2 linked regions of the Arabidopsis thaliana genome follow. The protein of the gene in region 2 interacts with the protein of the main gene of each other region in a pairwise test. Each region holds a gene or a part of one and is shown on either strand. Other genes may lie near its edges.

Region 1 (3,922 bases), on a different chromosome or scaffold from region 2:
AATTGTAGTCTATCTATCTTGAATGATCTTTTCGCTTGGATTGACTAGAGTCTCTCGTGGTCCCAGACTCTTGCCCTAAAAAATCTAAATAAGGAAAGTTCCTTATTTAACCGGTTTAATGCCCGTAGTAAATATTATCGGTTTGTGAGATGGTCTGAGCCGGTCCGGATCGGGTCATAGGGGGTCTGGGACGTAATCAAGCTGGATAACTCTCTTGGGTTGGGCCGTAATCCTTCTTGGGTCGCTATTTGGTCACTATCGCAAAAATTGGCTCATATAAAAAGGTTTGTTGAAACATGCCTTGGTTTTTGTTCTTGCAGAGTTTCTGTTTGGGTCACCTTCTCCTCCTCCTCTTGGATGGACATGGATTTAAGGTCCACAGCGGGTTCAATTGCATCTCCGATAAACTAGATATCGGTGCGTTTTTCCACAGCCAGTCTATGTAATACAATGTAGCTTCATTCTTGATACATGATTTTTATGACTTCAATGATGAGACTGAACATTATATTGCGCAAAACAAAACTGATGAAACCCTCCATGTCAAACGATTTGTGATGAGTTTTCGGTAATCATACGTTATATAAAGCTACATGATGAATCCCTGAATGGCTAATTCTAAGCAGGGACGTAATAAAAACCTGTCACAATTTTCTAAAACACACTCAGAAAATAAAGAGAGAGTGGTTGATAACGCAGAGCGCAAGCGCATAAATCAAAACAAATGAAGTAGATCATCATCTTCCGTGAAGCTATAGACCGCAGAGAGAGTGAGCCTGCAAAAATGTTTTATGGACTCGGTAAGTAACTTCATAGTAGAAGAACCAAAGTAAGTGAAGATGTTAATAGGAAAGCTAAAGCTGTAGTTTTTTTTACCTAAAGACAACCATGATGAAGAGAAAGACGTAGAACCCGAGCTTGGTATACCGGAGCTTCTTTTCAAAGCTGATACCACGGAACACTTCAGTGACATCGATGAGATAACGTCGCTCTTTGTATCTGAAGAACAATGGGAGGCGCGTATTTAGTTTCCACGCATGTCAATCAAGAATCATAAGCAATATGGATGGATATAGATACTTACAACATTGCGTGATAGACTGTTACAGGGACGGCGACCAGAAAGAAGACCCAATGCCATGTGAGGAGGAAGAGAAGGCAGAGTGACCCTTGGAGGATAAACTCAGGTATTACTAATCGGTTGATACGGGTACTTGTTTCAAAAGGGTTCAAGTAATCAGCTTCTAAATCCGTTAAGCAGATAACCTACAAAATCACACACGATATCAATAGACTAAAAAGGAATCTCAATGCTTCAATCATTAGCAGAGGCAGTTAGTATGAGAGTAAACACTATTGGTAGTAGTATCTAACTTCATTCATTCACAGTATATAACTCGCAATTAATCAACTATATGTCTCAATTGACCAAGTATCATATACAAGCCTTGCAGACAATCCAAATCAGAACTAAGAACAACTTTGAGTTAGAAGCATAAGATTAAGGATAAACAATGAAACCTCTCTGGACCCAAAAAATTGTCAATTGTATTTAGTACAAAACCGACGAACACAAAGGAAAATTGTTCCATTCCTAATTTTTTAGCTAATTCGAACAAAAAGCTAAGTTGCTCGGTGTTTTTTCACAAGTACAATTCCGACAATCAGGATTTGAACAGTAAGGACAGATCTCGATTTAAGAATCTTAATGGAAAGTAAAAGGGGACAAACAAAGTAGATAGATTACCTGGTAGAAGACGGAAGCGACGAGAGCCAAGCTAACGAAGAAGGAGACTATCCATAAAAACAAATCCCAAGCCATATTTGCTCTCTTCAACAATTACGATTCGTCTTTTTGCGACTGCGACTCTTCTCCTTAAATACCTTTGAAAAAAAAAGAACTCTTCTTCTCTCAACAATTGGTGTACTTTACTTTGGGGTTCTATTGGACATTAGATTCTTCTTTCCTTTTTATTATTACTTCTCTAGTTTCTTTTTGTGAATATCCTTTTTGTTAAATTCCTTTTTCTTTTTCAACAAAAAAAAAAGATGCTTGGTGTTAATTAATAAAGAACTAACAAAATTTATTAACTGTATGCCATTTAGGCCTATACAAGCCATATAAGTAAATAATTTCATTTTTTTCTTCTCTTTTAGAATAATTATTTGGTTCTTTTAAATAAGTTCACTTGAAATTTGTTAGTTCTTTATTTAGGCCTATACAAGCCAAAGGATCCGTCCACTCTCCTCTTCCCGAGAAACTTGGTTGATACCGTACGTTTATATGTTACATTGTAACAAAGGCTTGTTTAGTTATCAACTGATTATGATGCATTACTCGACCTGATTGTTTTTGCAGGTGGAGAAGTCCTAGGACCCGGTGATAGAATTTCTCTTCTTCTGAAGATCCAGACGACATACACGTGGGACCCTGAGCTTTTGAACTGGTAAACTCACTGCTTTTTTTGTTGTTGGAAAAAAGACAAAAAGTAAAAATACACATTGTTTCCTAGCAAATACACATTAGTCTTCAACTTCTAAGAAGCAACAAATGTGATCTAATTTACGCTAAAAACATTGGTCTCCATTACAAACACGAAACCTAAATTTCACAAACTACTACATAATCTTTATTTTTTTCTAGACTTCTTCGATGATCTCCGGCTTTCAACTTTTCTCTGAGCAGCTTCGAACTCTTCTTCGTTTGGCTCAGAGTCAGCATTGCTACCATACCTAGAGACAAGTGAAGAGAACATTGAATCGAACTTCTCTTTCCTCTCATCTCCCCGCTGGGACATTACAGCGTATAAATCTTTATCTGCAGCCTTTGCTGCTCTGAAAGTATAGAAATTTTGAAACAGGTCACAACAAAGATAACTTCAGAGGGCATTTATTGGGGTGGAAAAGGTAGACAAATAGAAGCTTACTTCCGTCTCATCTTCTGGGGATTCGTGGGAGGTTCCATTTCTGCAATCTCCTTTGCCCATTTCTTGTAAGCTTTTGTTGATTTCACTTCTCCTGCAGATGTTAAACAATGGTATGCACAAACAAATCAGAACCTGGATAGGTTTTATAGACAAAAGAATTATTGCAAGAAAGAGAAGCCTACCCGCTGCAATGGCCTCATCGATAATATCTTTGAAACGGTGCGAATCAAGCTTGGGGTTCGAGCAAAGCATTGAGCAGAAAAGCCTGAAAGAGATATAGTACCAATAATGTTTATACAAACTTCAACTCACAAACTTGACAATAATGAAAACAAGGGGATGATTAATTACCTGCTCATTTTACCCTTAAACTTGTTATATAGCTCAATCAAATCATTCTTCTCGGATTCAGAACCCCTATAGTTGGCCTCAAACTCTTCAATATCTTCCTCGGTGACCTATAGCACAAATGATCAGTATACAGAACGAAACAGTTGTGTTGCAAAGTCCAAAAAGAAATCAATTGTGAATCATGATTCTTACCTTCTTGTACATTGCCTTGAAGAAGTCCCTCAAGTTGTCAACCACATCTCCCGAAAGATCCTAATGAGATAGGGAAATAACCAGTTTGTAAGAAAATCCTCCAGTACCTTTACTTAAGTTGAAAACTTTCTTTCAACTTACAGCATCATCAACTGAGCCAGTTTGATCATAGACTGCTCTTTTCTCTTCATCACCGAGAATCGAAATAACCTTTTGCAACTGCTGAAATTTCTCTTTAGCATCCTGTATTGGATAAGAAAAACAAGAATTCCGGTTACAATGTAAAATTGAATAGACCCCTAAAAACTAAGAAAAGTAAAGAAACCAAAACCCCTCAGTTAAACCTCATCATCCTTGTTTTTATCAGGATGAAGCCTCAATGCTAACTTATGATACGCTTTCCTTATCTCTTGTGGAGATGCTGTTGCTTCAACACCAAGAACCTTCAACAA
Region 2 (3,922 bases):
AACATTAAGCTCAACAAGAAGCAAAACAGAGAACAAGAATCACATATAGCAAAGACTAGAAAAATCTTACACTGATTGTAAATAGGTGAGGTTTCCGATTCTAGGAGACAATGTACCAGACAAGCTTTGGCTAGGAAGATCCCTGTTTCATTAAGAAAACAAGACAAGTCTTAAAGATCTATCTGGTTTTTTTAATCTAATATACGAGAAGAGAAGAGAAGACTCACAGTGAAGAGACATAGCCATCAGTGCAAGAAACCATTCTCCAGCTACAAGGATCAACTGAATTCACATCCCAATTCTCAAGAACTTTGTACGGATCATTCAATTCATTCTTCACAGCAACCAAAGCTGTCACTGCTCATTTCAGACAAACAAAAAGAAAGAAACTTCAGATTGAAAGAACAAATCTAGCCTCAAAACTCCTATGAATTATCTTATTGCTAAAGCTGCATTTTTCGAAATTGAAATCTTATCCAAGAAAAACCCAGTAAGCTTATATGCAGTATAGTTTCACAGAGAATGAAGTAAACTTGAGCTGCTATTGGCTAAGGTTATATGAGTCTGGTGAGCATTTAAAGCTGTGATATTTATTATCCAATAAAGAAACAAAAAAGAACCTAATCCACACAAACATTCACCAGAATTTTCGGAACAACTAAACAAAATAGACAAAACCAAAGATGATAAATTCATAGAGAAAAAAATTGAGATTTCTCCAAGAAGAAAAAGACTAACCTTCATAGTTTACACCAGTAGGAGAAAGTGTAGCAGAAGAGATATCAAAGAACCATACAAAAACCAGAAATCCTAATCTCCACACCACAAATCTCACACCTTCCATATCCCTTCTTAAAGCAATCAACTTTGGTCTGAACAAAAACAAGTTTCAAAGAACCCACCAACTCATTTTTCTCTCTCCCATATCTGAAAAAAAAACTTAGCTTTTGTCTACTTTTCTTCTTCTCTGTCTTTATTTAGACACAGAAACTAATTTGAGCAATCCATTTTCCAGCAATGGAACCTCTCTTTCTCTGTGATTTCAATTCAAAGGAAGTAAAAAGGAGAAGACCCCAATTGAAAAATGACGACTTGCAAGTTACTCAGCTTAGAAAGAGAGAATTTTTGAATGAAGAAACGATTAAGAGAATGAATGCTAAACGAGCTGTGACAAGAGATAGAGAAGAGAGAGAAAACTCTAAAAGTGTGAAGAGAATTTTCCCGAGAAACCAAGCAAAACAAAAGCACCAAAATGCTCTGAAAGTCTGAGAAATTTTCCTAGAGATCTGAAAAAAAAAAAGCTATTGAGTGATGAGTGATACTAATAGTGCTTCTTGGTTTATATTTTATATCATTTTTATGACTTTGGTAGTAGTTGTTATTGAATAACTAATCTCTATAACATTCTTAATTTTTTCAAAAAAGGTTTGCTTCTAATTCCACACCACTATTACCAAATCATCTAATCTCTCATCTGCCTACTCTTATCATTCACACCACCAATATAAAAAAGGAATTTAAAAATAATAATCATGAAAAGAAAGGGACCAAACAAGCAAAATCCAAAATGAAAATGCCAAAAAATCCACAAACACACACAGAAAGATACTGACAGAATAACAAGAAAAGAAGAGACTCTCTGTTTTTCTCACTTTTTTATAAGTTTTGTTAATTTATAAGCTTTTTATATAAAACAAAATTACTGTGAGGTAAAAAGAATAGTACATTTTTTTTGTTTATGTTTTCATGATTTCAGTTTGAATCCTTTTTATTTTCTGCTTTCGGACAAATGTTTCAAGAAAACACTTTAATATACAAAAATGTGATTAGATTGAAGAGATGGGTCACATAGATGATAAAAGAAAAAACATAAGAACAAGGACATCTCTCTCTTATTTTAATATTTTGCTTTTTAGAAAAAGTTACCGAGAAAAAAAAAAAGTTTTTTTTGATGGGCAGATCACGTTCATGGCCTGTCTCCTATCTTGTTGGCTTTTTCAGGCTTCAATTATTTTACCCCTTTTTGAGTTTTTGATTAAAGGATAACATAATACTTCTCTTTACTACACAAAAATGTAAGCGTAGACGAATTCGTTTACACAAATTTTGTAAGCGTAGATTATGTTTTGCCCACTTGGGATGGCTAAATAGATATTGCAATCTCTTTCCATGACCAGAAAAGGCCCAGCTCAATGAAAATATCCAGAGCTATCACTAAAAACGGGCCCTGATTAATAGAAAAATGGTCCAAATTTTTGAATAGCCAAGTCTAAAAATGGACATGTCTATGACTGTCGATATCCACTTCAGCAAATTGCTTGCATCGTGTGTAAAAGGCTTAAATGCTTCTGATTCCATATCGTTATTTCCTAGTAGAATTTTTGGAGTTGCTAGATAAAAGTTGATTAAATACGTTTTCTTCTGATCTAAGTCAAGAAGAAGATGAGAATCAAAAGAGAAAATACCAAGTAAGAAAAAAGAAGATACTTGTTCTTTATTTATGAATAGTAAGATACATTAGAAGTGAAACATAATCCAAACACGTCTCAAACTCAAGAGACGCTAAAGAGTATTTTGAAAGTAAGTGATAAGATTGTAAAGGCTTATGCAGCCGCTGTGATGTACTGGATTGCCTCCTTGCATATACCTGTCATTGTTGCTTCAGGACCATACACCTTGAAATCAAACAGACATGTAAAAACAGTTAGAAACTGATTAAGCGGGAATGTCTTGAGTTTATTCATTGTGTGTCTACATACCTCGATGGGGACACCGATTTCGTCTCCAAGTGATCTCATTTTAGCAAGTCCCTTTTGGTAGTTTGGTCCTCCTCTCCTCACAAATATATGCATCCTTGCTGCTTTCAGCTTTGCTTCCTGTAAACGGTTAAAGCATGGTTCATTTATACTTGTAGTCAAGGGGCAATGAAGTGTTTGTGGATGATTCTACTCTCTTCTTGCTTACTTTTTCCTTGAGAGCTCGGATTATGCCATTGAAGGTAGCAGCAACATCGGTGAAGTTAGCAATTCCACCTCCAATTACCAGAGCCCTGCTTTTTCCATCCGGATTCGCTGTAGCACACTGAAGAAGCAGTATTATCATTCAGCACCACGACCAAGTCAGGAGTGACTTTATTTTCAGATGCTTTATTGGCAGAAGTTAAAGCAGCATCTTACATCAATGACAACTCTGGCATACTGCAAAACCTCGTCTTCTTTGGGTGCTCCACTGTATTCAGCATAATTGCCAAGCTCAGATGCATACCCGAGATCTCCAACCTGGATAACATTTCAGTAAACACTTTAGAGGCTAAGGCTTCTAAGCAGAAAAATGCAGGAGATTCTCGGTGTTCATATAAAAACATACGGTATCAGCATAGATGACACTTGCACCTCCTCCAGCTACCATAGTCCAAATTCTTCCCTTGGGATTCAGAACAGTGAACTTCAAAGAGGCACTTGTCTGCATATACAAAAGGGTCATAAGTCATAGAGAAACTGGTGTTTCCAGAAGCGTCAATTACTCTACGCTTATTGGTATGATACCTTCTCATCTAGACCGTGGATGAAGCTCTCTGTTGAACTCATCACTCTTCCAAATGGCATGGGAAATTCAATGTCGCCCCACCTGCAAAACGTAAGAGGTTAATCATACCGCCCAAACTCTTGACTTATCATGACTTCTTAAAGCTCTTGACTTCGGAACAGTTGAAAAAAGTGGAAGAGTCAAAACTTACTTCTTAAAGTTTTTGAAAGCAGCGGTGTCATCAAGCTCACCCCTCATATCCAGAGGATAAGGCTTTCCATCAACCAATGTGAAAGGATTCATCTCCAAGAAAGTGAAATCAAGATCTGGTGTCAAAGAAAAAAAGAAGATAATAATAAATCTTCAGTTTTTGGTTCAGATGTCTTCAATTTGAATT

What was found.
Region 1: the proteins of NIK3 (region 2) and AT3G12180 interact in a protein complementation assay, tested with the Arabidopsis thaliana proteins (one large-scale study listed by BioGRID).

What each region holds. Positions count from the first base shown.
Region 1 is NC_003074.8:3,881,364-3,885,285, reverse strand, and holds AT3G12180 (Cornichon family protein), read right to left. Parts: upstream 1,957-3,922; 5' UTR 1,823-1,956; coding exon 1,748-1,822; intron 1,267-1,747; coding exon 1,085-1,266; intron 1,000-1,084; coding exon 877-999; intron 777-876; coding exon 716-776; 3' UTR 422-715; downstream 1-421. Other genes in the region: AT3G12170 (Chaperone DnaJ-domain superfamily protein), read right to left, coding at 2,631-2,835, 2,928-3,018, 3,110-3,192, 3,279-3,385, 3,471-3,530, 3,612-3,713, 3,815-3,913.
Region 2 is NC_003070.9:22,386,088-22,390,009, forward strand, and holds the start of NIK3 (NSP-interacting kinase 3), read right to left. Parts: upstream 1,680-3,922; 5' UTR 845-1,679; coding exon 739-844; intron 615-738; exon of another isoform or gene 358-614; coding exon 228-357; intron 143-227; coding exon 71-142; intron 1-70. Other genes in the region: ACLA-2 (ATP-citrate lyase A-2), read right to left, coding at 2,604-2,675, 2,760-2,876, 2,965-3,081, 3,177-3,278, 3,367-3,462, 3,546-3,627, 3,737-3,851.